7 linked regions of the Rattus norvegicus genome follow. The protein of the gene in region 6 binds, or shares a complex with, the protein of the main gene of each other region. Links are inferred from orthologs where the notes say so. Each region holds a gene or a part of one and is shown on either strand. Other genes may lie near its edges.

Region 1 (4,500 bases), on a different chromosome or scaffold from region 6:
AGTCTTCATCCCTACAACACAAAGTCAAGTGAGTAGTCTAGTTCCATTGTTATACAGGATCTTAAGGTAAACTTTAAATTTTAACACACACGAGGTACCTAAAAATTGATACTTTCTCAACTTACTGTAGGTTGATGTCTCGAACAAGAGGTTCAAATTTGGGTCCCCCAGGAATGGCCATGTTGAGTGCCTTAGAGGTAAAGAAGGCCTTTAGATCAAAGAGATAAAAGTAGTTGTCATCTACCAAGTCAGTCAGAAGCTGGTTGGCCAGTCGGTAGAGAGTGGACATCATAGGCAATGTGAACTGCCAGCGTTGGTAGGTGGAACCATTAACATACCTAGGGAAAAGATGGAGGGCCCACATCAGGTAGGCATTGAGCCAAGCCTCTTACCTACGGCCTTCCCACAGCTCCTGTTTCCAGAACTCTCACAGAAATTAGTTCCACTCACTTCCTACTATCTCTCAATGGCTGGTGGTCATAGAACCAGTCCAACACAGGGGCATCCTCCTCAGGGTCCAGCTCTAGCTGAATGGCTTCCAGTGGCTCGACATCTAAGATGTTGTCAGCATAATCCAGGGGCGGCTCCTCATCATCAAAAGGGGGAAAACGCATCCTCTTGAAATGCCTCCTGTCTCTTTTTTCTCTACGCATCATGATCCACATTGACCTATAAGGCAAGAGCATCATGCCCACTGATCTCAACTGCCAATACTTCCGCCCCCACAACACCCCACCAGATGCCACCTCCCCCCACACTTCAGCCCTTCTCACCCCCACTGGGAGATGTAAACTGGCTCAATAACCCAGGGAATCTCGTTAACGAAGGAAATGGCTCCAGTGATGTGGTACAGCACAGGCACATCCCGGATCTGCTCCCAAGGCATGGGCATGTTCTCTAGGAGCTTGAGAACTGCGTGAGGCATGTACTTGAGAGCTCTGCAACACAAGGAGGAGAAACAATTAGAAACAACTAAGTGTTCATCATTTGTCCCTTGCTGACAAGCCATAAAGTTATCACGTGTTCCATACAAAATGCTGCCTTATATTCCAAAGCCCCAAATTAGGACGCAGATCCTACATGACTTCCAGTATGGCCTCCTCATCTCCATCTAACACCACTCTCCCTTTTAAATGTCTTAGTTCCACAATAGTGGGAATCAGCCTGTATAAACCAACACCTGTCCCTTTGAAAGCAACTTCCTTCTGCCCTTCCTGTAAATACCAGCACATTCATGGCTCTACACAGTGACCATTTGTCTCTCATTTACCATGCCACTAAACTTAAACTCCTAAAAGGAAAGGTCTATCCATTGAGGACCAAAAGCAAGTTTCAATAATAATAATGATGATGATGATGATGATGATGATGTTTGTTGTTGTCTGAGACAGGGTCTTACTATATAGCCCTAGCTGGCCTGAAACTCAGTCTAGAACAGAAGATTCATTCTCCTGTCTCTGTCTCCCGTGCACAGAGACTAAATGCCTGGCCACCAATCTGGCTCTTGTTGTTGTTTTTAATGGAGCATTCCACGGAGCAGCTTGAGCTGGCCTCAAGCCTGTGACAGTCCTGCTCCTGCAGCTCCAGTGCCGACATTACGTCCAAACACTACCACACTGGTTACCAATTACTGCTGCAGAAGTAGTAAGAGAGACTCCAGGAATTAAACATCCTAAACTCCCAAATGCTAGTGACCAAAAAGCATCCAGAGTGTGTCATATCTTGAGCTTCAAACAGTTCAACAATAATAGTATTTAACAATGACATCAGCAGGACAAAACAAAGCAAAAATAAGTAGAAGACTTGGCAATTATCACCGAATCCCAGTGGTCCTGGCTTTACTTCTACAAACATCCTATGTAAAGTCTACAGCCATGTTCCATGCTGGACATGATGGTCTCTGCCTTTAATCCCAGCTCTTAGGAGGCAGAGGCATGGGGATCCCTGTGGATTCTAGAGCAGCATGGTCAACAGAGCTAATTCCAGGGCAGAAAGGCCCACACAAGGAAACTGTGTCTCAGTTAAAAAGTCATGTTCCAAACCATAGTCCCTCTATCCAACACTGTCAATGAAGGGGCCGAAAAAGGAAAGAAGCCAAACTCCATATGAAATTATCCTGGGATGTTACTTACCCCAAATAGACCCTTTTGTCATGACGGAACTTCCTGTTGGTCATGTCTCCATGGTCTCGAATGATTTTCCTGACATGTTCTGGGGGCATGTCTTCCTTCTGAGCATCCACAAACCCGAATTTCCGCTTCTCTGCATAGCGCTTGGCCTGCAACTGCTGCCATTTTCGAGCTATAAAAGCATCTCAGTTAAAAGGGCTGCCCACATTCACCCTAATTATCCCCCAACTCTTGCCCCTGGGGTAGCCCTCAGCATGCTGTGAAGAGGAGAACTACTCACTGATAAGTATACTGCCATTTTACTACCCCAAAACACCTGACATTTTTGCTATTGATGTTTAGGGAAGGGTTGCTGTCTAATCCCTTCAGAGTAATGCAATCCCTATAAAGGAACAGCTTTTGTCACCATTGACGCATCACACACACACACAATACACACGCGCACACACACACACACACACACGCACGCACGCACGCACGTTAGCTTCCTGCAAATAACAGACGCTTCCAAACCTTCAATGATTTAAACACATTTTAAAACGTGTAAATACTGCTAATAAGTACACCCCTGATGACCTGCCTACAGAGGGAAGAAATGAAATCCGCCTGCACGTTCGAGCCCGCGCGCGCCGTTCCCGTTCGCCTCTCACCTTTCTCCTGCAGCTTCTCCTCTGACATGTAATCCGGCAGCGGGGCTAGAGGGCCGGGCACCGGGTTACCCGGCCCTCTGTAAGGAAACACTCCGGCCATGCCGGGAGAATCTGGGATGGAGAGGCAAGCCAATACGAATCAGCTAGGCCCGGGCCCAGAAGAGAAAGATGGAACACGTCCGGCGTGCCCTGGCCTGCACCCTAGCCGGGCTGAGAGCTCGCGACCCGGGCCTGGCGCAGCTTCTCGGCCGCTCGGCCCACTCGACAGCCTTGCAGCCCAGCCTCAGACGCCCGCCACCCACCTGTCGTCCCTCACTTAGGTAGCGGCAGGGCTCGCAGAGCAATGGCGGAAAGACGACGTCCGCTCCGCGTTCCCAACTCCAGGAAGTGCGCAACCAGGTTCAGAAGCTCACCCAATAGGAGGCGAGATGCTTCGATGGATTAGCGAAAACCCCAATTGACGGTAAAATTCGCGTCGGGGAGGCGGGTCTAAAAGCGGATTTCACTGCGAGGGGTGGGGCCGGGGTAGACTCACGCCCCGCCTTCCGCCAGTCAGTTTGGTTTAGGAGGCCTGTAATAGAACTGACATTTAATTGGCTTTTAACATTGCTCCCCAAAAGCCAAAGCCATAACAATTTTAATAAGTTTGCCTACGTTGCACATTTTTCTTGTATTTACTCTCAGGAATTCAGAGCTGATATGCAGTACTAGCTCCTACTCAATGAATCCTTTGTTCTTTTATTCCTTCGTTATATTATGGTTAAGAGTGCTCACTGTGTACCAAAGAGTCAAATAACTCTTGGAACGTCCAAAGCAGAAGGAAGTCTGGCAAGAATGTATGATCTGGATTGGGAATGAACCTCAGAGTACGGTGTACAGGAGGCCCTTGGTTCATTCGATTTCTGGCAACGCATAGACCTTAGGGATCTCAGCACTCGTGGGACACTGGGTAGTGGAGGTGGGGCACAGGGAGCTGTAAAGACAGGATGATCATAAATTCAAGGTCTGGACCTGGGGGTTGGGGATTTAGCTCAGTGGTAGAGCTCTTGCCTAGCAAGCTCAAGGCCCTGGGTTCGGTCCCCAGCTCCGAAAAAAAGAAAAAGAAAAAAAAAAAAAGTCTGGGCCTGGAAAAATGACTGAATGAATAAGAGCCTTGACTGTTCTTCCGGAGAACCTGGTTCGGTTCCCAGCAATCACATGGTGCCTCACAACTGCCTGTAATTCTGATTCTACAGGATCTGATCCCTCTACTGCCCTCTGCAGATACAGAACACACATGGTGCACATACATGCAACCCAAACACCCATATACATAAAATAATATTTTTTCAAAAAGAAATTCAAATTCTTCCTTGGCTTTGTAGAGTTTAAGACCAAACTTTGCTACATAAGACCACACCTCAAAAACAAAACAAAGTGTACCAAATAATAGTTTTTAAAAATTAATTTTAAAAAATATGGATTGGGGTTGGGGATTTAGCTCAGTGGTAGAGCGCTTGCCTAGCAAACGCAAGGCCCTGGGTTCGGTCCCCAGCTCCAAAAAAAAAAAAAAGAAAAAAGAAAAAATATATGGATTAATGTTTTGCCTTCACATAGTATGCCTGTGCACCACAAACATGCCTGGTACCCAGAGAGATTAAAAGAAGACATTAGATTCCCTGGAATGGAGGTAGATATGATCCACCACTTGGGTACCAGGAATTGGGGTCCCCTGCAAAATC
Region 2 (2,767 bases), on a different chromosome or scaffold from region 6:
GTCATGTAGCATAAGCGTGGGATTTGAAATTGTAAACTCCTCAAGCTGCCCCATCCCCCTCCATCTTCTAACTCTTGACTAGTTTAGCATATCTGCTTCCAAACTGGCCGGCATAATGTATGTCCTCAAACCTTTGGAAAATGCTCTGGTGAAAACTGAATGGGGAGAGGTGGAGCAGGGTCGGGACAGGACACCATTGTTTGCCAGTTTGTCATTTCTGAAGACACACAAACTAATTACCAAGAAAGGGGGGAGGGGGCTGCAGCATAAAGGGAAGTGAGGTTAATGACAGCAAAGACTAGAAATGGGTGGGAAGGAATGTGGAAAAACTCCATGCTTGAAGGTTTCCTTGGTACCAGACACACTGTAGGCATGAAGAAAATCGAGGTGAGGGAAGATCATAAAAGTGTGTGTGACAACTAAAGTACTTGTCAATAAACGCTTGCCCTGTGCTTCCGCCCCCGTTTTCTAGTCATATTCTCACGAAATCTTGATCCACAGAACTCTCTCCAAATACCTCCCAAAGAACACAGCAATTCAAACCAAAAGATATAACAAATCCTAACTTTATGTATGATATATATTTAAAAAAAAAAAAGGCGAGAACGACATCAACTATCGAAAAGCTGACTCGGAATGCGTCATCACTCCCAGGCAGTCTTCTCCCTCGCTTGCCGATTCTGGGATCACTCCTTCCGCACAGCTCCCAGGAGACCCGACAGTCTCTCGATGACTTGTTCGGAACCGTCCACAGGTAAGCAGGTCAGGCGATACACCCAACGGAGAATGGTCGAGAAGCAGGAGTCAGGAGGATCGGTCCACAGATGGCAGATGGGGAAGGCTGGGAAGCGCTCGCCTCAGTTCTCCTCCGGCTTGTCCGCCGGCGGCCCGCTGGGCTGCAGCATTTTCTCCATCAGGTTGAAACGCACGCGCGCTTTGCTCTCATTCTCAGCAATGGCGAAGTAGTTGAGGAGGTCGAAGTGACCCATGTAGGAGCAGTAGGAATCCCGATGCTGGTTCACAAGCCATTCCCACTTGGTGGTGTCGGCGTGGCCCGTGCCGATGTACTTGGACTGCAGATGCTCGAGCTGGCTGTGGATGGTGTACCGGTCCGTCATCTCGCCGCTCTGTTCTTAGGCTTCGAGGTCAGGCCACAGATGAGAAGCTACCGCTGTTCGGCGTTCAAATCAGAGAGACGCCGCCGCCGCTGCCGCCGCACAAAAGCTCTATTCGTGCTGGCGCAGGAGAAAGACGACACGCAGTCGCAGGAGTACTTTCTTTTCCTAGGCGGAAGGGGAAATAAAGTCTGTTGCGGGATTGGGGTTGCCTAGGAAACAGTGGGCCGTCTCCTCACGGAGCCCGCCTACTTCGAAGAGCGTTGCATGATGGTCCTCTTAGTGGCTCTTGGGTGATCACGTTCTAACCCTCGCGTTGCATTCTGGGACATGTAGTCCAAAGAGTTTGTCTTAGATTGTTTTTGAGGGGTTTTGCCTGGCTTATATAGGACAATGTCCAAAAACCTCGAAGCTTCATCCCACGGCTCCGGGCTACAAAGAAGGAGAAACCTACGTGGGTTTCATAATCCCACTGTCATTGAAATCTCATACTGCCGCAACACAACAGTATGAGCAACGAGGAAAACTAACTCTTGTACCTAGAAGTTAACATGGTGGCATGGTTCCGCCTTGGCCCAAGTTTTGTCTCTTAGGATTTGGGTACCGGGAAAAGTTTTTTTTTGTTGTTTTTTTTTTTTTTTTTGTTTTGTTTTGTTTTGTTTTTTGACTCTCGCTAGCTGCTTGTTGATCAGTGTCAGCACTGGTAGTCTCATTAATGGCTTCCCTAAGGAGTTCCAGGCGCCAGTTTCTCAACCCACCTAGGCTCTGTGGCCTTGGGCAAACAACCCCTCTTTAAGGTCATTCATAGGCTATTCCTTGAAGTCGGATATGGCTCGAGACAAGAAACCTCTTTCTCTTCATCTTGTGTTTTTCTGCTGATTTCTGCCTTATGTTGGGGGTTGTGCACTTTCTCGCATGGTACAAACTACTCAGAAAAAGATAATTGTACTTCTTTCATGGTACTCCCTGAGGATATGCGAATAGCGTGATGAAGATTGTATTCTCAAAAAAAAAAAAAAATCTTAAGAATGGGGTAAGAGCAATCATAGCCAGAGAGGATGGATGATGACAGACAAATTGAAAATACAGGAGTTTGGGGGTACTTTTGTTTATTTGATGTAAGAGGGGGGAGGCGAAGTTTTGTCCCTGAGCTCACAGCAATCCTCCTGACTCCTGAGACTAGAGACTTGTGCAACTCCATCTAATATTTATTCTTCTGTCTAAACTTTGTCATAAAGCATCTTGCCAGGTGGTGGCAGCACACATCTTTTTTTTTTTTTTCTTTTTTTCGGAGCTGGGGACCGAACCCAGGGCCTTGCCGCTCTCCCACTGAGCTATATCCCCCAACCCCGGCAGCACACATCTTTAATCCCAGCATTTTAGAGGCAGAGGCAGGTGGCTCTCTGAGTTCCAGGAGAGCCAGGCCTACAGGGAGAAACTCTGTCCCGAAAAATAAAACCAACCAACCAAACAAGCAGCACCCAACACTTAAATGACACAATACACATCTTTTTTTTTTCTTTTTCTTTTTTTCGGAGCTGGGGACCGAACCCAGGGCCTTGAGGTTGCTAGGCAAGCGCTCTACCACTGAGCTAAATCCCCAACCCCCACAATACACATCTTATTCCTAAAATGTAGATGTACACGGCAAT
Region 3 (4,504 bases), on a different chromosome or scaffold from region 6:
GGAAAGCTGGAGGAGTGACTATGATTAAAATGCAAAACTCAAAGAATTTTTAAAAAATGCTTACAAAAATGAGTATTGGGCTGGAGAGATGGCTCAGCGGTTAAGAGAACTGACTGCTCTTCCAGAGGTCCTGAGTTCAATTTCCAGCACCCACATGGTGGCTCACAACCAACCATCTGTAATGGGATCTGATGCCCTCTTCTAGTATGTCTAAAGACAGTGACAGTGTACTCATATAAATAATAAATCTTTAAAAAAATTAAAAATTGAGTATTGGCAGTCAAAGGCTCAAGGGGAGAAGGATGAACAGGCAGTACCCTGAGGATCTTAATGGCTTGGAACTCTGTAGATTATAGAAACAGCAGACACAGACTATCTTGCCTTTGTCCTAAATCTCAGACAGTACAAGGGTGAACTGTAACAGCCTTTAACTGATAATGTGTCAGTGTAAATTCACCAATGCTGACGATGAACCACCGTAGGGGTGGGAATGGATCGTAGAAAGCCCTTTGAGGGTGGGGAAAGAGGGAGTAGGAGAAGCTCACCTTCCCAATTTTACCGTCAATCTCAAAATTTTTATTTAAAAAAATTATCTTAACTATATGCTCAGTAACTCTGTTTCTGAATGTACGTCGGATAGTATACATACTAACATCTAGCGAGCACTTTACATAGACAGATTTTCTCTTTAATCTTAAGGAAATAGGTATTTCTCTCATTTTATAGTCAAAGGATAACAGAATTGAAATAATGAAAACAAATTTACAGACTAAAAATTTGGTTTTTGTACCAAATGTACCAGTTTCTGTAGATGCTTTGCTACTAATTTCCACCTTTCTCTAACATCTTGTTGCAAAAATACCTCTATTTAAAAAAAAAAAAAAAAAATCCACGTTTCAAGATCATTAACTTGGCCCAATCGCGAGGAAGCCCGAGACGAGGGGGCGGGGACTCAGAGACTACAAATCCCAGCATGCACCGCTGCCCTGGCAGCTGCTTGCAAGGCTGTGGTTTCCTCCGCGCTCTTCCCTTCTCCCTCTTGTTTCCACTTCCGAGATGGGTTCCTACGCCCCTTGTCAGGTGCCACTACCTACAGCTGCACGCATCTTAGAGACGGACCTGGGTGAGCCCTCGCCGCCCGAACCCCATGTCCCTGCGGCGCAGCCCGCGCTACCCACCTCACCCGCAGTCCCAGCAAGCGGCGCTGCTCCTCTGAGGACGCGCACACGGTTGCTACGGAAACGACGCGGCGTTTCCCCTGACTGGTGAGGCGGTCAAAGGTCGCCTTGGCAAGTTCCGGTTCCGGTTCCGGGATCTAGTTTGTTGTGGGCTGGCTCTGTGGTGCTGGCCGCGGGATTTTGAGGCGTGTATCTGAAGTCCGGGTGTGGGCCAGGGTCGCTCGCGTTCCGCGGCTACAATCATGGCGGCTTCCACGGCAGCCGGGAAACAGCGGATTCCTAAAGTGGCCAAGGTAAGCGACCTCGAGGAGCCTCAAGCACAGCATCTGTGGTGTGGGGCACTAGAGATTCCGGACAGAGATCTTTGTGCCCTGGTCCAAGAAGACAGGTGGTCCATGGTGAGGTGGCACGGGGTCTTGTCACTCCGAGTTCGTCTCGCGTCTGCCCAGCCTTCGTTCCAGGGTGGTATTTTTGTGATGCAAAGCATCAGTTCGGTTCGGTAAACTCATTGCTTTTCCTAGTCTCTGGGGGTCCCCTACTTTTACTCGAGGCTACAGTGCTCCAATAAAACTGGAGGAAGGGCGAAATAGCAACCTTGATAGATGTAGCCTAGTCCCGTAGACTATGCTATAGGCAAGAACCAGAAGGGTGCCAGTAAACTTGAGGGTAAGCTTTGTGAAGGAAGCTAACACTGGAAGGCTGCGTCAAAGTTAGGCAGTGGAGGGGATGGGAGAGGACAGGCTCTGTGCAATGGCATCATTTAGGTTGGACAGTAAATTATTCTATTTCCAACGGTGGCTGATACTTCACCAATGCTTAATGAATATCAAGTCTTGCACTTAGCCATTGCATACAATCTTTCTCTGGTTTGATTCTTCTAGGGCCTTTTGGTCTTGAGACAGGTTCTTATTTCCACATGTAATTGTAAAAATCTAATGTGGTAGCTTTTCCCCTGCATCCTGAGTCATAAAAACCATGGTATGTGTCCTGGCTAGATTTTTTGACAGCTCGACACAAGCTCAAGTTATCTAGAAAGAGGAGTCTGGACTAAGAAAATTCATCCATAAGATTGCTTGTATGCAAGTTACTGATTGGTGCAGAGGGCCCACCCTACTTGGGCAGTGCCATACCTGGGCAGGTGGTACAGAGTAGTATGTAAGAACAGACTGAGCTTAGCTTGTATATCAGTCATGCCTCCGGCTTCCTGCCCTGACTTCCTTTCATGATGGACTCGTGGTCCAGTTGTGTAAGCCAGTCAATCAGCTCTCTCCTCTGCGGGTTGTTTTTGTTGGTGTTGTTCTATCACAGCAGTAAGAAAGCAAATTAGAACAGTATGTTTGCACTCAGGGTCCATCTACCTTGAACACGTTTGACTTGTGGCTACCGTGTTGGAACTAAAGCGCTTACAGGCTATTGGTGGAGACTTTGTAAAAAGAACAGTTTCAGTTGGCCTAAAATGTCATGGAAAACCAATTTGTCCACTCGAGGGGTTAGAGGAGTTAGTTCTCTGAGCAGGTGATAAAGAGGAAGTGGTACGATTTTCCCCCTGCCCCCGGTTCTGTCTCATGGAGAATTGAGGGTGTCATTCAAAGATGGCATCTTGGACTCATTCTTAGATCTTGTGTGGAGAACACTACCCAAAAGCAGGAATGTCTCTTTGTCCTAACAGGTGAAGAACAAAGCGCCAGCAGAGGTGCAGATAACCGCAGAGCAGCTCTTAAGGGAGGCTAAAGAAAGAGAGCTCGAGCTCCTCCCACCCCCACCTCAGCAGAAGATCACAGACGAGGAAGAACTAAACGATTACAAACTACGGAAAAGGAAGGTGAGTCTGTTAAGAATGCACTGCGTACGTCTGTCCAAGTCGCCCCCCACAGTAGGAGCGAGGGCCTGGGAGAGAACTCTGAAAGGGCCTATGTGATCGGACCTCAGGCTAGTATTTGGGATTATTTAATGCACTAATATCGTGGAAGTCATACGTAAAATTCTACGAGTTACCGAGCACTTGAAGGTAATGTTAAAAGTTGTTTCAACATTCTTATTCTTAATGAGAGTAGAATTTATTAAAGCACTCGTTGTTAATTGCTACGGAGAACAGCAAAGCGTTCTAAAAGACACACCTTACATTTTTCTTGATGTCACCATAAACTTTAGAGAAACACCTGTCATTGTCCCCCTTCTGGAGGAAGGTTCTTGTTCCTCAGCATCTAGGATATATTTTCTCTTAGAAAGAATAAAATGAGTGCTGTATATTACAAGGGGGAAGCAAAGTCATTTTCTCTTTGATACACTCTCTTCACTCCCCTTTTGCCTTTCAGACTTTCGAAGATAATATAAGAAAAAACAGAACTGTGATTAGCAACTGGATCAAATACGCACAATGGGAGGAAAGTCTGAAGGAAATTCAAAGGTAAAGTGCCACGACTATAGTAACTGTCTGCAAAGAGTGTGCAAGCCAGCGTGTGAGAGCTGGGAAGAGGAGAGCAGGGAACTGTGCCGTGTCAGCAATTTCCAGCTTCTTTCCAGGGAGCTCTCTGAGGCACTCACTGGGAAGGACAGTCAAGGGGGTGTCTCAGGAGGTTCTAGATGTGGGTCTTGCTGCTAGTACTCCTGTCGCTAAGAACAGTGTTTTGTCTGTTTTCTGTGTTAATTGGATATTGTTTCAAATATAGGAGTGTTCTCCTGAAATCTGTTGTCAAGATAAAAATCATGGTGGCCTTCACTGCCCGTTGACTAGCCTTTCTACCCTCGTACCCATGTTCCACTGTGACCATGTCCTTGCCAATCCTGAGCACATCATTGCTCATTACTGTGCCATTTGTTTGCTCTCTGCCTTGACCCCTTGAAGGCACCTTTTCTTCACCAACCTTGACTTCTGAACAAACTGCAACTATCTCTCCCATTCTCAGTTCCAGGAGCTCCTGCAGCTTAGCCTGTTTCACCAAACATTGCCATTTCTCTCTCTGCTTCCTGTCCAGACCTTGCCTATGCTGCTTATAACATTATGAAATAATTGCATGCTGTCTCTCCTAAGGACTGTGCAGTAACTTGAGAACATCATTGCTTTTCCTCTTCTTATGACTAGAAGTTGGCCCATGATAGGTGCCTTTACAACAAAGGAGGGCACTGCAGCTACTGTGAGGTAGCTGTTGCATATCTTATAGGTGCTGCCTTTGATGCTCTCCATATCTCATTGGTTAAGGGCCCGATCCATATACGAGCGTGCTTTAGATGTCGACTACCGAAATATCACACTCTGGCTGAAATATGCAGAAATGGAAATGAAGAACCGCCAGGTCAACCATGCCCGAAATATCTGGGACCGTGCC
Region 4 (4,363 bases), on a different chromosome or scaffold from region 6:
CCTCACACAGTCTAGGAACTAGCACTTAAGAATAAACTAAAACAGGACAGATTTAAGGGGAAATTTTCCTTTAAGTTAATAAAGGGAACCACAAAGCATCTACACAAAAGATCACTGTATACTACTTCTTAGGGAAAGGTCCAGTGCTAAAGAAACACACTGCATGCATCACCTCTCCTTTCCTTCATCTTTGGAGACAGTTCTTTGGTTTGCCCATTTCAAATATAGCACCCAATGCTCCATAAAAATGATGGTTCAGGATCTATTTCCTGGATAGTACATAGCTCAGAGGCTGATTACAAAGTAAGTCCTCTACTTTGTTGTAAACAATGTTATGACAAACTAGTTAACACTTATAGTTAATATTTCATCTCCTTACTGCCAACACTGTGTCCTGTGTATATGTCTAACTGAATTCTATCAATACTATAGTAGATATATTAGAACTGAAATAATCAGAAACTTAAGTTGAAGAAAACAAGCAGGAAAAACTGTATGGATTTAGAAAAAGAAAGTATCATAGATGCTCTTCAAGTTTCTGAAGAAATAGCTTATTTTCAATTTAGCTGGTTAATCTCTTGGGTCTACCATTAAATTCTCATGTTACAAAAGCTATAATTATATAGAATCAGAATAAAATAAATAGAAACCTGGAGTCTAGAAACTGGAAAGAAAAACACGTTAGACTATTTACTATAGCAGTTAGTAAATGGTGGTTATCATAAACCCCCCCCCAAATCCTCTCACCTTCATTTTACACAAAACTATTTTATCAGACAACTTTGTGATAAAGATAGGAACTAATCAATGTCAATGCTTTTGTTCAGCTTTTCTTCTATAAACATTTTGTAACAGAAACAAGAAATTAAAACTAAAGGCTTTAAAAATCAACTATTTTCAAATTAGCTTTTAACATTAATAGACTTCCTAAGTGCCCATAGTTTACAAATATATAGACTATGATCTGACCACCACCACCCCCTCATAACAAACTACAAACAAAAAATCCTACATATTTGTTTCCTTTATTAAGAACAAGCAAAGGAAGTAACCTTGGTTTTGGAATTAAACACAATTTATGACACTATACAGTTCTGTCACTTGTCATACTGACTCTCTGGGAAAGTGACTTATTTTGTCTAAGCTAGATTCCTAATAACAAAAGTGGCAATTCTTCACAAGGCTGTAATGCAAACTAATTGATATACAAAATCCTTAACACATGATATGCATTTAGTCTATGTCATTTTGACTGGTATTGCTCATGGAAGAGAAGAGTCAAAAGGATGAAGAAGAAAATTAAGGAGCTGGAGAGATGGCTCGGTGGTTAAAAGTCCAAGTTCTTCCTAGCACCCACACACTGTGGCTCACTCTAGGTCTTGTGGTCTCCTTGTGTAGTGTATCCTCACACATATGGCAGACGCTCATAAACACACACACACACATGAGCAAAAACAAAATTAAATCTTTAAGAAAAAAAAACCAGAATGGAATAACATGGGATTAATTTACAGTCATGCAAGAAATATTTCAATCAGAAATGGTAGGTCGGCCAATGGTACCGAAGATTGTGCCACCAGTGAAGTCATAAATTTAAGTTTCCAAAACCACTTACTATATTCGGAAAAATGATGAAATCACTGAAAGCACATTTCCTCATCGATAAAGAACCAATTAGGGCACACACATGTAAACTGTTTAAGGTCTCTAAGTTAAAACAAACGAAACGGAATAGAAGGATGCAAGAAGAAAACAAATCAGTTTATCACACAGCTCTACCTTTCAGCTCAGGTCTTCAGGGTTGGCCAGAGAAGTTGGACAGGCAGCCAAGAGATGAAGTTAAATAGCTGAATCATAAGAACACCGGAATATTGGTACGCTGTGGTGTCTGAACATTGGGCCAGAAATGTTACCTCAAATGTACAAGCAATAAGCCTCAGGAAAGAGGAAAACGAAAATGTCACTCACCACGATCATTCTGCCATCAGAAGTTATTACTGCAACAGTTCCTGAGAACTGAGTCAAGGAAAGTATTTCCTAAATACAAACTGAAAACTTTTAGCCTAGAAAGGGAATGGTTCCAACTACTTAAAAAAGAGAAAGAATTAAGATTCAACAGAGTCACTGCTCGGAGGAATAAAACGTAAGTTTTTAAACTTGTTTCAACTGTACCTTGAAAACAGTTAATTAAACGATAGAGGGTATAGAATGTGACTGTTTGCCTCTGGTTTAAACAGCAATGTTTCCAACCTATGACACTGAGCAGGTTAGACTCACTTCTTAACCTTTAGAATAAAATTTAGATGGGAGCTAATCAATGTTGGATCTCTTTATGCATGGTAAGGCCCTTCTCATCCAATTAATGCCATCAAGTACCAATAATCCTTGCATCATTAAAACCTCTCTGTATTTAACTAGGGTTTCCTCTTTGAGCATATGCTAGGTGCAATGTTTTTGCCCTGACTTCAGAACAGCAATTCTATCTTAAAATCTCTGGGCTTTTTAAAAGCCATTCGTCACTCTCCAAACACCATCACAATACGATTTATTTTTATTCTACCGCATAGACATTTCAAGCGGAGGCATGGGACCCGAAATGCACATCTGAGGAGCATCTTCCTGTTCATGCTATCCCCGAACAAACAAGACTGTTAGGATCTACGAACTGGGAGTCCTTAGGACAACAGTTCACCTTAGTCCCAATGTTGGAACATATACAATCAACAGGCTACGTGCAGGAAAACTCTAACTACACCGAGATCTGTGCTGTGGGTGGAAAAAGCCACGGGTCCATCCGGGAGCTCCCTCCACGAATCCCGACCCCCGGTCCTCCACCCACTGCTCACTGCCCACCACTCCGGGCCCCCGTGTTCCCTCCCGCCCCCGCCGCGGCCTGAGCCGTCGCAGCGGCCCGCCCGAGGATACGGTTGATGTAGTTCTCCAAGGCAGACGTCATGCTGCTGGGCCCGGAGGTTCCGGGAATCTGAGAGGAATCAGCAACAAGGAGACAAAACACCGCCCGCTAGAAACACGTACAGATTCGCGCCCGCTGGCGAACGCAAATATCGCGAGACTCTGAGGCCTCAGCGGTGACGAATCAGTAAGAGAAAGGAGTCGGACAAACAGGAAACGGGGCGGTGCTGACTAGTGGGCATGCGCAGCGTGTTTCCGCTGGGCTTCCGGGTGGCGATCGGAAGGGGAGACAAAGGCGGGGACAGGCGGAAGTGTAGAGTTGTCACCGAAGGCGGACTGGAAGGAGACACTGGAGGGTTCTACCGGACGGGAAGGCACTGTGGTAGTTACTAAAGGTAGTGCGGAAAGACTCTTTCTGCCGGAAGACACACGAGATGAAGATGTTTCCATTGGCTAGAGTAGGAGAGAGATTCTTTGTTCTCATAGGCAATGTAGATGCAGGGTGCAAGGAGCTCTAGATTTCTCCAGCATGAGCCAAAAAAGTTTAAAAAGCCAAATAGCCCAGTACAAAGGGAGCATTTTGTAGCTCCACGATGTACATTTTCGGAGAAAACAACTGTATGAAAATATTTGTGTATTCTGAATTTGGCTCTTCGTGTCCTTAAACGAGCTTTTTTAAAAAACGAAAGCCAAATAGCTGAAGGTGCAGGAGCCTGCCTTAAGAAATGGATTTCATCGAAGTCTCGGGACTTAGCTTTCCTCAGGGTGAAGTTCAATAAATAAAGGCTACAGCCCCACTGTGAAGGGACTAATTGGAGAAAAGTGTAAACTAAGCACCGGGTTTGATTCTGATTCTGTCCCTCATTGCTGTCACTATTTTATGTCACTTCAACTCTGGACTTGAGTTTACTTAGTTCCTACTACAGAACTATTATTTTTCACATGTCTTGGTAAAAATAGGACTGACATTCTCCCTCATGCCTCGTGTGTGTGTGTGTGTGTGTGTGTGTGTGTGTGTGTGTGTGTGTGTGTGTGCAACTCACACTATGCAAGTCTTCCAAAGTCCTGTACCAATAAGTTATACCTCCAACCTCCCCCTACCCTGTCTGCTCCAATAATGTTTTATTTATTTATTTAATGGTGCTTTCACTTCAAAACTGGTTGTTAGGAATCTGCACAACTAATTATGGAAAAAAGCAATATTTCTTTTTGTTGTGGGTTTTAAAATCTTTCTTAGCTGAAGAATTATGGCTTTGGAGTGATTGAACTAGCTGTGCTTTGCTTTTAGTTAGAGACAGTGACAGTAATTACATCATCAAACTGTTGGGGAGCTAAAAGAATTCCTTTAAAGCTTGCCATACAAATTATACCTATTATAATTCAAGAAAATAGACTGCATCATAAAAAAAAAAGTTTTGTCACCCCGAAGCTTATTCTAACATTGTGTGTA
Region 5 (4,704 bases), on a different chromosome or scaffold from region 6:
AATGGCAGAGCCTGGATTTGAACTGAGGCAGAGCTCTGTCCATCCTTTGAGCAACTTCCAGTGATATTTGCAAGAGACATGTTCATCTTGTTCTTAACTTTCTAGTGTAATTATGCTAGAGAGAGAGAGAAAGAGAAGTTAAAATCCTGATTGACAGCTCCCCTAACACACACACACACACACACACACAGTGCACACACATACCCACCCAGGGTCTGTTGGAAGCTTGGAGGCTTTCTTGGTGTTGTTTTTCTGATAGTTTCTGTGGGCAGGGGTTTTAGCAGCATCCCCCTCTTCCCTCTCATTCTGGTTTGCCCTTACAGATGGCTCTACCCACCCAGTGAACCCAGACTGTGAGGAGTCCAGTGAGAGCAGCAGTAGTGGAAACTCTGAGCTGGAGCCTCCTGGTCGCCAGCTCTTCTGTTTAGAATATGAAGCGGACAGTGGAGAGGTCACATCAGTTATTGTATATCAGGTACGCCTTCCGGAAACAGCTGCATCTTGACGGTCCTGGGCCATGATGGAAACTACCACTAGTTCCTGAGCCGCTGTTAATCTCAGGGCCAGTGGAAAACGTGTCTTCCTGTCAGGTATTCTCAGCACAGAGATTCCTAATTGGGGGAACAGGGAAAACTTGTGACCCGCAGTTGAGAATCACTGTTACAGGGGATTCCTGAGAAATGACAAGCCTTAAGCCAAACAGTTCTGTGAGAATGCTGTCTAGGAATAGGGCAGCACTTTTCTGAGAGACCAGGCTCTGAGCTTCCTGACTCTTCCTCCACGTAGGACGATGATCCCGGAAGGGTGAGTGAGGAAGTATCAGCACACACACCTCTGGATCCAGCCATGCGAGAGGCCCTCAGATTGCGCATCCAGGAGGAACTTGCAAAGCGCCAGAGCCGACACTGATGGGGTTGAAGGGCAGGATTCACTGCACTTGGCAGAATTTTGCCCAAGGAGCTCACCTCTAGTTTGGGGGGTGCCAGGATGAATCCATGTGATCTTCAGGGATAATGTCCTCCTCTAAGCTGCTGTATCCACAAGGGTCTTGCAGGACCACATCCGACCTACCTCTCAGCAGCTATTCTCTCTTATCTCATCTAACCTAACATTCTGGAATTTTGGCTTTGGCTAACGGTGTTTTGGGGGCAGAGACTTCAGGGAGAGCCAGGCTTTCTGAAGCCTTTGCCCGTGTGCTGTTGTCTTGGTGAGGTTATTTGTCAGGCTCCTTCGTGTTTCTGCTTTCTTCCACTCATCTTTCCCCAGGCCTGTTTTCAGTCATCACTTTTCGTTTCTCCTAGCTTTCTGCCTTGGGTAGAGTCCATTTCTACCCCCCCCCCCCACCCGCAACATGACTGTTTTTCTGCCACTCAGGAATTTAGAAGTGGGGCTTCTGGAAGCCTGCCTTCCTTGACAAGTTCTCCAAGTAATTCTGATGCCAATAAAACAGGAGAGCTTTGGTTTTGAGGCCTATTTGGAAACACATCTCCTTCCCCTTCTGTGGCCTTCCCAAGCTACTCATGCCTCACTGCTTTGCACTGTCTGTGTAGACTGCATAGGAGACCCAGGAAGAAGGTGCTGTGCTAAGTTGCTGTCCTTTGTTGAAAACCTGTCCTGCTAAGCATGGGTGGCACATGCCTTTAATCCCGGTACTCAGGAGGTAGAGACAGGTGGATCTCTGTGAGTTCAAGGCCAGCCTGGTCTACATACCAGCACATCTAGTGGCAGGACAGACAGTGGTAGAAAGAACCTATCTCAAAACAACAACAACAACAAGAAAGGTTTAAAAAAGTAAAACCTGCCTTGGCTAGGCTTACCAAATTCACCTCCTAGCTGTGAACAGACTACCTTCTGCTCAGACTAAAGGGGAATTATCAAAGCAGATGCTCCAATTGTGGTTTAGCAATCTTGAGTTATTGAAGTTGGGAGAGTTGACAATAGCTATAATTGTCCTGAGGTGGGAGGGCCCCAGTTTCAAAAAGGAGTTGAGAAGAACATCATCAAGAAAGTGAAATGACCCTTTCTCTGCTCCATGCTTTCTTCTCTCATACCTCCCAAGAATATGTCTGAGCATGATGACGCACGCTTTAACCTTACCAGCATGGAAGAGGCCAGAGTATGAGACTGCCTAAGTTAAAGACCAACCTGAGCTGTCTCGAGAGAAAACTAAGTAAATGTACCTTAGGTCCTTTGGGTAAAGATCCCCAGACAGAGCATTTTTCCAGCAGGGGACATGTTTTCCAACACTAGCTTAGGCTAACTAAGGTCTGAAGTCCATAAGACATCCTGTGCACGGGAATTCAGGGCTACCTAAGACTTCTGACATACGAGCCTAACTTCAGCAACCTGAAACATGAGTCATAAAACAGCCCACAGCCGAACCTCCTACCCCGGGCGTTTGTCTTCTAGGGTCTCAAGATCATTCTAACTGTAGGAGTTCAGTAGCTTGTCTCTTCTGGGACACCTGGGGTCCCTGCTGTGTTTTATCCCCTTCTGCTGAAAACATGTAATGTAGCGGGCATCGGCTTTATGCATTAAAAGAGTGACTCACAGCTTGCTGTGCCAGAGCTCTGGGGCATTGGGTGAGGTGGTGAGTTAGAAGGGCCTAGTCCAGAAGTAGCTGGGGACCTGAATGCTCTAGACCAGGAGAGCTGGTCCCAGAGCTCAGTGCCTTAAGCTTGAGTCCTGATCTCAGTCTGCTGTCAGGGAAACGCCTTCACCCAGTACTTGTGCACTAGTGCTGAAAGTGCCTGTGGCCTTACTTGGTTAGATACCATCCAGAGCCTTCGGGGTGAAGGAGGGTCTGCCACACTCCATGCTCTTCATCCTCCAGTTAATCAGTCCATATTCTGACTTAAAACACAGGATTCACTGGAACTCTGGCTGGACAAAGAACATTGGAATCTCTTTGGGGTCTGTGTTCTTAGAGCTATGCTTCCTATATCCTGATTCTGTTATTGTACACCTGTTAAAAACACCTGAAGAAGAATCTGAGGACCAGCACCTACAAATTTGCCGTTATTCCCACTTCTTGATGAAGGACAAAATAGATACAGTGTTCTGTAGAGGCCGTTCATGTGTTCATATGGTCCTCACAAAGACCCTGCGCAGAAAGGAGACGGATGGAAACTTCTCTAAGCTCCTTTTCCAGAAGCACTTTGCTTATCAGTATGTATGAAAGATTTTCTAGCTAAGAAAGCACTCTTGATTCTTAGCTAATTTGTCCTGTATGACTACCTAAAGCCCCAGACTTGTGCCCAAATGAAATGGTCATTCTGAGCCAGCCTGTGAGAGCTGATATTTTCTAGGCACCCCTAAAATGTCTCTTAGGGGCCACCCTCAGCCTTATGGCATAGCTTTGTTGCTCTGCTGGCCTATTCTGGGGTCCGTAGTAATGTCCAGTTTACTTGGCAACCCTGCTTCCAGATGCTTCTCTTACCTATTTCAAAATTCACAGGCCATAGTGAGTTCTCAGAACTGCCCAATGTTACAGCACAGCATGCCATAGGCAGGACTTAACAGCAAACTGCCCCAGAATCAACATTCATTTGAGTAGATAAGTTCTTAACTGTCTTTTTTGGGGGAAGGGGGTATGGGGTCAGGAGGCTGAGCCAGGTATGATGGTACATGCTGGTAATCCCAGCATTTGAAAGGCTGAGATAAAAGGATTGCCCTATAGCCAGGCATAGTGGCACATACCATTAATCCCAGCACTTGGGAGGCAGAGATAAGGTCTCCTGAGGCCAGCCTTATCTACAAAGCAAGTTCAGGACAGCTACAAGTACATAGAGAAACCCTGTCTCAAACCCTACCCCGATTATTTAAGAAAAAAAAAAGACTGCTATGAGTTCGATGCCAGCGTGAGCTACATAAACCTTGTATCAAACAAAAAGTCTCATTCCCATTCTCTATGGAATGTTTTTTCCCCTTAGTTCTTAACTAGAGTTAAGCCTGTATTTTACAGTTTTGTGATTCCTGGACCAAGTGTGTATTATTCATGAGAGAGAGAATTGGTTTTTGCAAGGGGGTTTGTGCTGTGCAAGAATAAATGATAAAGCCGGGGTTGTAGCCCCCTGGCAAGCGTGACTCTGAAGAGTGCAAAGAAGGGAAAAATGTAAAAGTGTATACGATGAGAGTAAAGTGTATGCTGGCTGCAGTCTAGCCAGCAGGTGTGGATCTAGAGGAAATGTGAAAGAACATTCCATCTCTCTGGTCGTGGGTGTACTGCCAACTGGAGAGCAGCCCAGATAGGTGGAAGCTCTTTGGGGTGGTGAGTGTCCAACCTGCTGTGTTTAACAAGACCTGTGTCAGGGTGGTGCTTCCTAGATAACTCAAATTTAAGTGAGACCCTCATATAAGGACAGATGACTTTTCTGCCTCTGAGCCTTTGGGAATCTCATATGCAATGCTGGCAGTTGTTTGAAACCTTACTCTTGAATGCCCACCCTGTCCCTGCCGAGCTGTTGGTGCCAGCCCAAATTTCCTTGGTGTTAGAGTGTGGCTAGAAGTGAAAACCTTCCTAGTTAGGGGTTCCTCCCTTCCCAGAGCAAACAGAGCAAGAGGTTGGGAATGGTGGGGAACAGCTCAAGAGATGAAGACAGAAGGATCACTGTCCATTTGAGAGTAGCCTAAGCCACACAGCAAACTTCCAAGTGTCCTGGCTATGTCATGGTGCTAAATGTGGAAAAAGCCATGCATTCTTTT
Region 6 (4,426 bases):
GTAACAGTTTATTAATGTCAACTCTTGTGCCCTAACCAGAGCTCCACCAGAACTTCCTGCTGTCCCCACTTCGTGAGTAAGCAAAGGGGCTCGGGTTTCCTCAGGGCAGAAGGAACCAGTAGTAAGCAAATAACCAAAACAGTAGCAAGACAAAAGCGCTGGGTTTGGGAAGCCAGAGAAAAAGACCTTCCCTTTGCTAGATGCTCCCAAGCCATTTTTTCCCCTCTTTCCCGCCCCTTTGTTGAGTGCTCTCAGGCCCCTCTTTCCCCCCCTTCCCGGCCTCAGGCTTTCCACAGCTCCCCGGGAAACAGGATCACCCAACGTGCTTCAAGCAGGGCTATTCGTTTCTGAGCAAGGTTGTGCCTTTTTGCCCCTTGGACTTTTCCACTTGACCACTCTCAGAACTCCCTGGGCTTCAAACCCCGGGAGACTCAGAACAACCATAAGTTGAGGATAAGAGATGAGAAGGAATATCCACCTAGCTAGGACCCACTAGAGGCTCCAGGCTGGGCTGAGGCCGCAGACGACCCAAGGTCGCACGCTGCCAGACCCTGCTCGGCTCCAGGGCGGAGTCCCCCCCCCCCTCGGTTCCCCCTTAGAGAGGCACTGACCCGGCTCGAGCGGCTGCCCCGCTGCCTCTACCTCCGTTCTCATGACCCGGGTGGCGCAGGGCGCCCATGGCCCCGGCCTGGAGCTGATTGCCGCTGCGATTTCTGCTGGGCGGAGAGCTCGGCCAGTGAGCGTAGAGTTCCTCCGCCGCCGTCGCCGCGGCCACCGCGGTTCAGACCCGGGTAGGCGGTGGCGAGGCCGCCTCAAGCCACGCCTAATCCCTTCCAGGTCTGGGCGCTGGAAACCCGCCCCTTCCATAAGCCACACCTCTTCCCTTCTACCCACTTCTCTTCCAGACTGCGCTCCCGGCCGGTCCTTCCCTTAAACGCTCCGGCGGCCCCGCCCTTCCTTAGCCCCGCCCCTGCCCGAGCCCCCGCCCCCAGAGCCTTTCCCGGGGCGACGTTGGCTCCCCACAAACAACCTAGCACTCTCCCGCCACTAGGTCTGCTCTTTTGCAGCCTCAGTTGTAGGCTCTGGTCCTTCGCAATGCCTCGTCGAGACTCCAAAGAATCCTTTTCCTACTCCCTTTAGGTCTTCTTACTTTGACCTTGAATAAAGATAGTTCCCAGGGCTCGGTGTGTCCCTTACCTGACGGTGACCGGATCCAAAGTTTAAATTTCTAATCCAAGCCTCACTTCCTGTCTACCCAGAGCATTGGGCGCAAGCCCAGATCCTGCCCAATCCGTCACTACAGCACTCTGTAAGCGTGGGTCCCCATGTTCCTTTGTGGGCTCGAGGATTGATGTTTCCGGCGGTCCTCGGGCCCTCCACAGTGCCGGAACTATAGTGCTAGAGGCCTGGGTTCCCCAGCCGGCTAAGTGAGAGTAAAGGGTAAGTAGGCCTAAAGGAAAGGGAGGGGCCTGCGCAAGGCATTCTGGGAGCGCGTGGTGTGAGTGATACTCGGGCCCGTCGTTTCCTCGCCTCAAGCCTTCGCCTTCTAACGTTTGTGCCGGGACCGAAAAAAAAAAAAAGCCTGCAGTTAGTTGGTGAGGAGAGGCGGCTAACGGGAGAGGGGAGGCCAGGGCTCTCCAGAGGCTTAGGAGCTGAAAGGGACGCGGAGGAGGAGCTCAGCGGGGCTTAGCGGAGGGCGGGAAGCCAGGGCCTATCCAAATATCATCTCACTAATCCTAGGAACAGTTATTTATTTACGCCTAGCCAGCACGTTCTGTGCCTTTCCAGGTCACCGATTTTCGAAGCTTACAGGCAGTCCTTTCTTGCTAGTTATCTCCTTGCCTTCCGGATCTTCGTTTTCAACGTCCTTTTCATCCCTGCGCCACTCCCATTCCTGTACTGGCCTCCCCTCCTGCTTTGCACGCTGCTGCAGACGTTTCAGCAGATTGCTCTGCTATATGTTTAATCCACTTTGTAGATGCTACTAGTTTTTTTTTAAGCCCTTGCCTATAATCCTGTAGTGTTTCCCTACCATTTTCAGCACTCTCCTAAAGTTGAAAGCCGTGGTTCCTCACCATGTTTAGCATCCTTATAGTCTTCTCATGAAAATGGGCCGTGTGCTCCGTCTAGTGTCGTTTCCCGTCTCAGAAATGTAAAAGCCCTGCGCATAGTCTTTGTTTTTTTAATGAGACTTAAGTCGAGCGTTTACCCTATTTCCCTGAATGATGAGCATTTCCTGTTTATAGCATGTTGCCGTGACGCTTTTGGTCTGCTTTTTGGTGGGGAGTCAAAAAGCTAAATTGTAAAGCACAACCTGTTTTCCTGGATTTCTCTGGGTTTAGGTCTCTTTGTACTATCAGGTACTGTAGCTTTTATCCAAATGCGGTTGCTGAGTGATTGGAATATGACTAGTGTGGCTGAGGGACAGATTTTTTTTGTTTTCATTTGCATTTTGTTTACGTGTAAACAGTTATTTGGTCGGGGTCCATATCATAGTTGTTTAAATGATTATAAAGAGAGGGACATATGACTGGGTGAGAAGGGAGGTACTCGGGGTTGGGGATTTAGCTCAGTGGTAGAGCGCTTGCCTAGGAAGCGCAAGGCCCTGGGTTCGGTCCCCAGCTCCAAAAAAAAGAACCAAAAAAAAAAGAAAAAAGAAGGGAGGTACTCTGATCCCATTCATTGGCTTTCTTTGTCCAGTTTACCATCCTTCCCTACCCTACATGTTGGGCTAACTTGCCGTCGTGGGTCCTTCAAACCAAGAGCCAGACTCCTTCCACAGAAAATGCAGCCGTGACAGAATCTGCAGAGCCTGTGGAATGCCAGTCCTTAGGCTCCGAAAGGTAACCATTGTCTCTCTCACTGCCCCATAGGAAGAGTCCTGCCAAGATGTCTATCGGTGTGCCAATTAAAGTCCTGCACGAAGCGGAAGGCCACATAGTGACATGTGAGACCAACACTGGTGAAGTGTATCGGGGGAAGCTCATTGAGGCAGAGGACAACATGAACTGCCAGGTATCCTGCTTTGCACCCGGGGCTGTGAAAGAACGGTGGCTTCTATCCTGGGGGATAAAAAGGTCTTAATGAAGTTATTCTTACCAGACAGTTACTACCTGTCAGGCACTCTGACAGGCTGTGAGATCATATGTCAATGTAGACTTAGTCTTGAGACAGGAAAGTCATTTGACAGCCTGATGTGGTAGTCCATGAATGTCCCAGCAGTTGGGAGGCTGGGGTAGATTCGAGGGTTCTAGGCCAGTGTGGGCTTTACAACAAGACCACACTGCTTTTGGTGGGGAGTCAAAAGGCCGAGTTAAAAGCCCCGCCTCTCTTCTTAGTTTTCTCTGGGGTTGGGTCTATGTGTGCTTTCAGGTAGCCTTTATCCAAATGCAGTTGCCGAGTACCTGTCCGTAAAACAACCAGTTATGTTAACTTGTTCTGTCTGTCTCGGCTCCTAGAGTAGGTCAGGTTCGGAACCGGAGTCCGCTTCCCAGCACAGTTTATAGTTTGCAGAATTTTCTGCTCACATATGTGTGTGTTTACTTTTGTCTTGGAGAAAGTTCATCTGATAAAACTACCAGAGTTTTGATAAATGGTTTTGGATTTTTTTTCTCCCATTAATTAAGAACTTGAGCTTTGGAATCAGAGAATTCTCTGATTTCAAATTGAGTTGGGCCACAATTATAGGACCTGGGGTACCTTGGCCATTCGTTCTCTCCTCTATAAAATGAGAATGGAGTTGTTTTGGATCCTCTGTGCTGTAAATGCCAACCCAGAATTAAATCCACAAAAGACTTGTTGGGGAAATGGCAGAAGGATGTCAGTGACCGAGCGGGATAGCACATGTGATTGGTTACTTTTCTTGTTGCTGTGATCAAATTCCTGACCAAAGCAACTTACGGAAGGAGGAATTTATTTTGACTCACAGTGTGATGACACAGTCTGTTGCAGAGGATGGTGTGATGGCAAGAGCTTGAGGAGGCTAATAGTCGCATTGAATGTGCAATCAGGAAGCAGAGATTAGTGCCTGCGCTTAGCCCAGTTTCTACTTTTGACCTCCACCTAATCTAGATAATCCCTCACAGACGTGCCTGTCCCTTCCTTCAGTAATTCTAAATCCATTAAGTCGATAATAGTAATGATGGTAGCAGGAGAGTCTTCAATCCAGAGAAAGGAAGGCAGATTGAGCAGAAGGAGCCTCAGACTGCAGCATGATGCTGAGCAAGTTTCCCCAAGTAAGAGGAGTGACTGGAGGCAGAAGTGGACTGGCTCTCATGTTTCCTCTGTGCTCAGTCCCTGGCAGCCTGTGTGCATGGCTAACGCAGAGTGAGTGCCAGGGCAGATCCAGAGCAGCAGCTGGAGGATGTCGGCTGCACACTCTTCCCTGCCTATTGTCTCTGGAGGATGAACGTAACATCCCTAGACT
Region 7 (3,904 bases), on a different chromosome or scaffold from region 6:
GCCAGGCCTGGAGCCTGCTAAATGCTTGCTTGGTAACTTGAAAGTCCAAAAGACTGGTAGGGTTAAGAGAAACTAAATCCTCTTGTTAGCACCAGAGGCTCCCTGACAGGAAGCGGAATGCCACATAGCTCTCACAAGGAGAACAGAATCTGCCACAGGGAATGATCTTAGAATCTAACAGTGGGCTGATCAATTTCTGACAGAATTTACAATCACCTTAAACTGTTGGTCTCAACTGCTGGTCTGGTCCTGTCTTGGGCCCACAGCATGACCCCTTCCTTGATGGCCACACCTTATGCCCCAATAGAACCCTTTTTTTGGCCAGGTGGTAGTGTCACATGCCTCTAATTCCAGCTAATCCCAGCACTGGGGAAGTAGAGGCAGGTGGATTTCTGTGGATTGAGGCCATCCTGATCCACACAGCAAGTTCGAGGAATACAGAGAAACCCTATCTTGAAAAACCAACCAACCACCACTACCAAAATCAACAGGAAAACATTTTTGAGCTAGATATGGCAGTGTGAACTCAGGTACTGGGAAGGCAGAGGTGGAATATTATAAATTCAAGTACAGCTCTACTACAAAGTGAGCGCTCCCTCCTCGAAATTAAGCCACATGTGGTGGTGCATACCCAGCACTTGGAAGGCAGATGCAGGTGGATTTCTGAGTTTGAGAACATACTAATCTATATAGTTCCAGGAAAACCACAACTATATAGTGATGTACTTTTCCAACAACAAACAAACGTCAACAACAACAATAAACAAAGGGGCTGGTGGTGTGGCTTGGTGGGTAAAGCACTTGCCTCCAAACCTGAGCTGAGTCCGATCTCTGGAATCCACGTGATGGAAATAGAGAACCAATCCCTTAAAGTTGTCCCCTCAACCCCACATATATGCCATGGCATGTGTGTGCAAACACATACAATAAACAAACAAACAAACAAGTCTTTGAAAAAAAGATTTTAAAAATTTTATTTGTGGGGCTGGAGAGATGGCTCAGTGGTTAAGAGTACCGATTGCTCTTCCAGAGGTCCTGAGTTCAATTCCCAGCAACCACATGGTGCTCACAATTATCTGTGATGAGATAGTGTGCATAATTAAAAAAAATTTTTTTAAGGGGTTGGGGATTTAGCTCAGTGGTAGAGCGCTTGCCTAGTAAGCACAAGGCCCTGGGTTCAGTCCTCAGCTCCAAAAAGAAGAACAAAAAAAAAAAACAAAAACAAAAAAAAAATTTTTTTTTTTTAAAGCTTTTTGAGATAGGAGTCTTGGGACGTATTCCAGGCTGGCCTGGAACTCTCTATGTTGCCCAGGATAATTTTAAGATCCTCCTGCCTCAGCCTCTGAAGGACTCGTTATTTTAGGCATGAGCTACCATATCCATGAACTATCTTTTAAATACATTTCTTTGATTTATAAAAGTCAACTATAACTTGCAACGTTCAAAATGTATCTTCTTTAGGTAGAAGTAGTCAGGAGGGGATGGGGCTAACATTCTGGGCAATCTGTATATCTGTATGTGCTTTTCTGTACTGTCTATTTTAAAGCAGGGACCTGGCCCATGGAATTCTCAGTGTCCTGGCAAACGAGGCAGCCTGACACTGTGGTACACGTTTGGCCTTGGCTCTTTTCTGGCATGTGTCTCTGCAGCAGTATCTTTCTGCATGCTGATAGGTGTAGTCTCTAGGTAGCTTCAAGATGTGGACGAGTTACTCAGCAGACCCAGGCGGGATAAGGGTGTGACTTGTGGTCCCAGTTCATCTTAAGGATAGAGGGGTCAAGATAAGCTGGTCACCGATGGCCAAAGATGACATCAATCACATGTCTATAATGATGATCTCATAAAACCTACAGAGGGTACAGGAAGGCTGTCTGTCTCCTCATGCTCTGAACATCTCTCAGCTGCACCCTTGAATGTCCTTATTCATAGGTGAGGTTTGTGAGTGGCTCCTGCCAGTGAACTAAACCAGAGGATGAGGTTGTGGAAATTCTAGTTTACAGAGCAGATCAAGTTGACCACCTCAGGTTTTCAACTAGTATGTGTAGTGGTGGTGGGTGGGGGCATGGCACAGCCTATAAAGACGGCCCAAGGAGCCATTCTTGGTAGTAAATAGCACAGGTCTCCTGAATCTCCCCATTCATTACTTCATTTATCATGCTAAGATGGCTGGGCAAAGTAAGACGCTTGAGAGGCTGAGGCAGGAGGACCTTTCCAATCCTCCATGGATTGTGCTAGGTCAATCTTTGCCTGAAGTGAGGCTATGTCTTTAAAAAAGAAGAAAGATGAATAACAACGACAGCATAAGTCTTGGTTATTTCTCTATTTTCTGAACACATAAGCGTAGAATTTCTGAATCTGAACAGGGAGACAGTATTTATTAGAAAATACGGCCACAATACTTACCCAAAACAACTGGATACCAGCTGTGTTGGTTGGTTCTTGGGCCAATGAAGTGTCAACCAAAGACGTTCTTTAACTGTTGGGTCCACACCCCCACTTCTTCTCTTCAGAAAGGGCAATTTCAAAACCATTACACCTGTAGATTAAAGTCAATTCACTCTCAAGACAGTGAAACAGTATCATGCCCCTCCCAGCAATCCTCAATTCTGTGGGTTACAAACGGTTTGGCTGATTAGTAGTAGAACCTTGGGGGCTAGAGTAATGAAACTGCTTGCCACAAAAGCATGAGAACCTCAGCTTAGGCCCCAGCACCCACTGAAAAAGCAGCAGCAGCCTGGTGCAGTGGGGTACACCTATCACCCATTGCCACGGCTGGGCACAGAGACAGGCTGTTGGAGCTGCTGACCAGTTGCTGGTCTAGCCTCATCACTGAGCAGCAGATTCAGCTAAAACCTGTCTCACAAAACAAGGCTGACAAAAAAAACAAACACGAAGGACTAAGGAAGACTTGCAACATCACCTCTACATACATGTGCACACAGAAGAAAGAACACGTCATTTTATTATGGAGACATTACTCTGATAGAGGTTAACGCCAGTCTTGCCAGTTTAGGCCAAACAAACCTTTTCAGGCTATCTTTGAAACTTGAAGAATTTTATCTTTGTCTGGGATAGGCTTGGGAGACACTGTAGCTTGTAAAGTGCTGGCCTTGTAAGCATTAGGATTTGAGTTTGATCCGAAAGACCCATATGTGAAACCAGGCATGGTAATATGCTCGTCCAATTGCTAGGGAGGTGAAACAGGGCTCTCCGGCTAACTCTCCAGCTTAGCTGGCTTGTCAAGCTCCAAATCTTGTCTGTAATGGAACCTAAGTAATGGCACCAAAGGTTGTTTGGTCTGCAGATGCATGAACATGCCAGTACCTCTGTGTGGGAAATTGAGCTCCTTATTAGAATGAAAGCCTTTAACAACTAACTGCAGGACAATAGATTCTAGTTAACTCCTCCTTCTCGTTCAATGATTCTCAACCTTCCTAGTGTTGCAACCCTTTAATACAGTTCCTCATGTTGTCATAACCCCCAACCATAAAATTATTCCTGTTGCTACTTTATAACTTATTTTACAGTTATAAATCATAATATAAATAACTGATCTGCAGGCTATCTGATATGAAACCCCTAGGAAGGGTGCTTAACCCTCAAAGGGAAACCGTCACCAGCACTGACCCAATCATTTGTACTGGCCATCAGAACCACAAGAACAGCTTTAAAAACATACATGGCAGCTGGGTGTGCTGGAGCACAGCTTTAATCCCAGCATTCAGGAGGCAGATAGAGGTACATCTCTGAGTTCAAGGCCTGATCTACAAAGCAACTTCCAGAATAGCCAAGACTTCACAGAGAAACCGGTCTCAAACAAAACAAAGCAACACGTACATGTCCAGAGATGTGCTTCAGGATATTCCAAATAGAATACAGAAAACAGCATTTTCTCAGTATTCTC

The links.
Region 1: Snrpd3 (region 6) and Prpf8 share a complex: the UniProt entries of both Homo sapiens proteins name them as parts of the U4/U6-U5 tri-snRNP complex. The link is inferred for Rattus norvegicus from reciprocal best matches to the Homo sapiens genes SNRPD3 and PRPF8.
Region 2: Snrpd3 (region 6) and Sf3b5 share a complex: the UniProt entries of both Homo sapiens proteins name them as parts of the minor spliceosome. The link is inferred for Rattus norvegicus from reciprocal best matches to the Homo sapiens genes SNRPD3 and SF3B5.
Region 3: Snrpd3 (region 6) and Crnkl1 share a complex: the UniProt entries of both Homo sapiens proteins name them as parts of the minor spliceosome. The link is inferred for Rattus norvegicus from reciprocal best matches to the Homo sapiens genes SNRPD3 and CRNKL1.
Region 4: Snrpd3 (region 6) and Lsm8 share a complex: the UniProt entries of both Homo sapiens proteins name them as parts of the U4/U6-U5 tri-snRNP complex. The link is inferred for Rattus norvegicus from reciprocal best matches to the Homo sapiens genes SNRPD3 and LSM8.
Region 5: Snrpd3 (region 6) and Usp39 share a complex: the UniProt entries of both Homo sapiens proteins name them as parts of the U4/U6-U5 tri-snRNP complex. The link is inferred for Rattus norvegicus from reciprocal best matches to the Homo sapiens genes SNRPD3 and USP39.
Region 7: Snrpd3 (region 6) and Gemin5 share a complex: the UniProt entries of both Homo sapiens proteins name them as parts of the SMN-Sm complex. The link is inferred for Rattus norvegicus from reciprocal best matches to the Homo sapiens genes SNRPD3 and GEMIN5.

What each region holds. Positions count from the first base shown.
Region 1 is NC_086028.1:60,828,429-60,832,928, reverse strand, and holds the start of Prpf8 (pre-mRNA-processing-splicing factor 8), read right to left. Parts: upstream 3,152-4,500; 5' UTR 3,082-3,151; intron 2,916-3,081; exon of another isoform or gene 2,891-2,915; 5' UTR 2,880-2,890; coding exon 2,780-2,879; intron 2,302-2,779; coding exon 2,133-2,301; intron 939-2,132; coding exon 774-938; intron 670-773; coding exon 451-669; intron 339-450; coding exon 126-338; intron 12-125; coding exon 1-11. UniProt on the Homo sapiens protein: Plays a role in pre-mRNA splicing as core component of precatalytic, catalytic and postcatalytic spliceosomal complexes, both of the predominant U2-type spliceosome and the minor U12-type spliceosome.
Region 2 is NC_086019.1:9,175,685-9,178,451, reverse strand, and holds Sf3b5 (splicing factor 3B subunit 5), read right to left. Parts: upstream 1,264-2,767; 5' UTR 1,119-1,263; coding exon 858-1,118; 3' UTR 551-857; downstream 1-550. UniProt on the Homo sapiens protein: Component of the 17S U2 SnRNP complex of the spliceosome, a large ribonucleoprotein complex that removes introns from transcribed pre-mRNAs.
Region 3 is NC_086021.1:153,804,445-153,808,948, reverse strand, and holds the start of Crnkl1 (crooked neck-like protein 1), read left to right. Parts: upstream 1-1,334; 5' UTR 1,335-1,420; coding exon 1,421-1,471; intron 1,472-2,847; coding exon 2,848-3,000; intron 3,001-3,493; coding exon 3,494-3,585; intron 3,586-4,377; coding exon 4,378-4,504. UniProt on the Homo sapiens protein: Involved in pre-mRNA splicing process. As a component of the minor spliceosome, involved in the splicing of U12-type introns in pre-mRNAs.
Region 4 is NC_086022.1:48,270,864-48,275,226, reverse strand, and holds the start of Lsm8 (LSM8 homolog, U6 small nuclear RNA associated), read right to left. Parts: upstream 3,100-4,363; 5' UTR 2,957-3,099; coding exon 2,926-2,956; intron 2,010-2,925; coding exon 1,969-2,009; intron 1-1,968. UniProt on the Homo sapiens protein: Plays a role in pre-mRNA splicing as component of the U4/U6-U5 tri-snRNP complex that is involved in spliceosome assembly, and as component of the precatalytic spliceosome (spliceosome B complex).
Region 5 is NC_086022.1:105,961,709-105,966,412, forward strand, and holds the start of Usp39 (U4/U6.U5 tri-snRNP-associated protein 2), read right to left. Parts: upstream 2,844-4,704; 5' UTR 2,763-2,843; exon of another isoform or gene 910-2,762; coding exon of another isoform or gene 787-909; intron 476-786; coding exon of another isoform or gene 324-475; exon of another isoform or gene 209-323; intron 1-208. Other genes in the region: C4h2orf68 (UPF0561 protein C2orf68 homolog), read left to right, coding at 324-475, 787-909.
Region 6 is NC_086038.1:13,141,975-13,146,400, reverse strand, and holds the start of Snrpd3 (small nuclear ribonucleoprotein Sm D3), read left to right. Parts: upstream 1-1,480; 5' UTR 1,481-1,595; intron 1,596-2,873; 5' UTR 2,874-2,889; coding exon 2,890-3,015; intron 3,016-4,426. Other genes in the region: protein GUCD1, read right to left, coding at 612-867. UniProt on the Homo sapiens protein: Plays a role in pre-mRNA splicing as a core component of the spliceosomal U1, U2, U4 and U5 small nuclear ribonucleoproteins (snRNPs), the building blocks of the spliceosome.
Region 7 is NC_086028.1:42,833,048-42,836,951, forward strand, and holds part of Gemin5 (gem-associated protein 5), read right to left. Parts: intron 2,537-3,904; coding exon 2,404-2,536; intron 1-2,403. UniProt on the Homo sapiens protein: The SMN complex catalyzes the assembly of small nuclear ribonucleoproteins (snRNPs), the building blocks of the spliceosome, and thereby plays an important role in the splicing of cellular pre-mRNAs.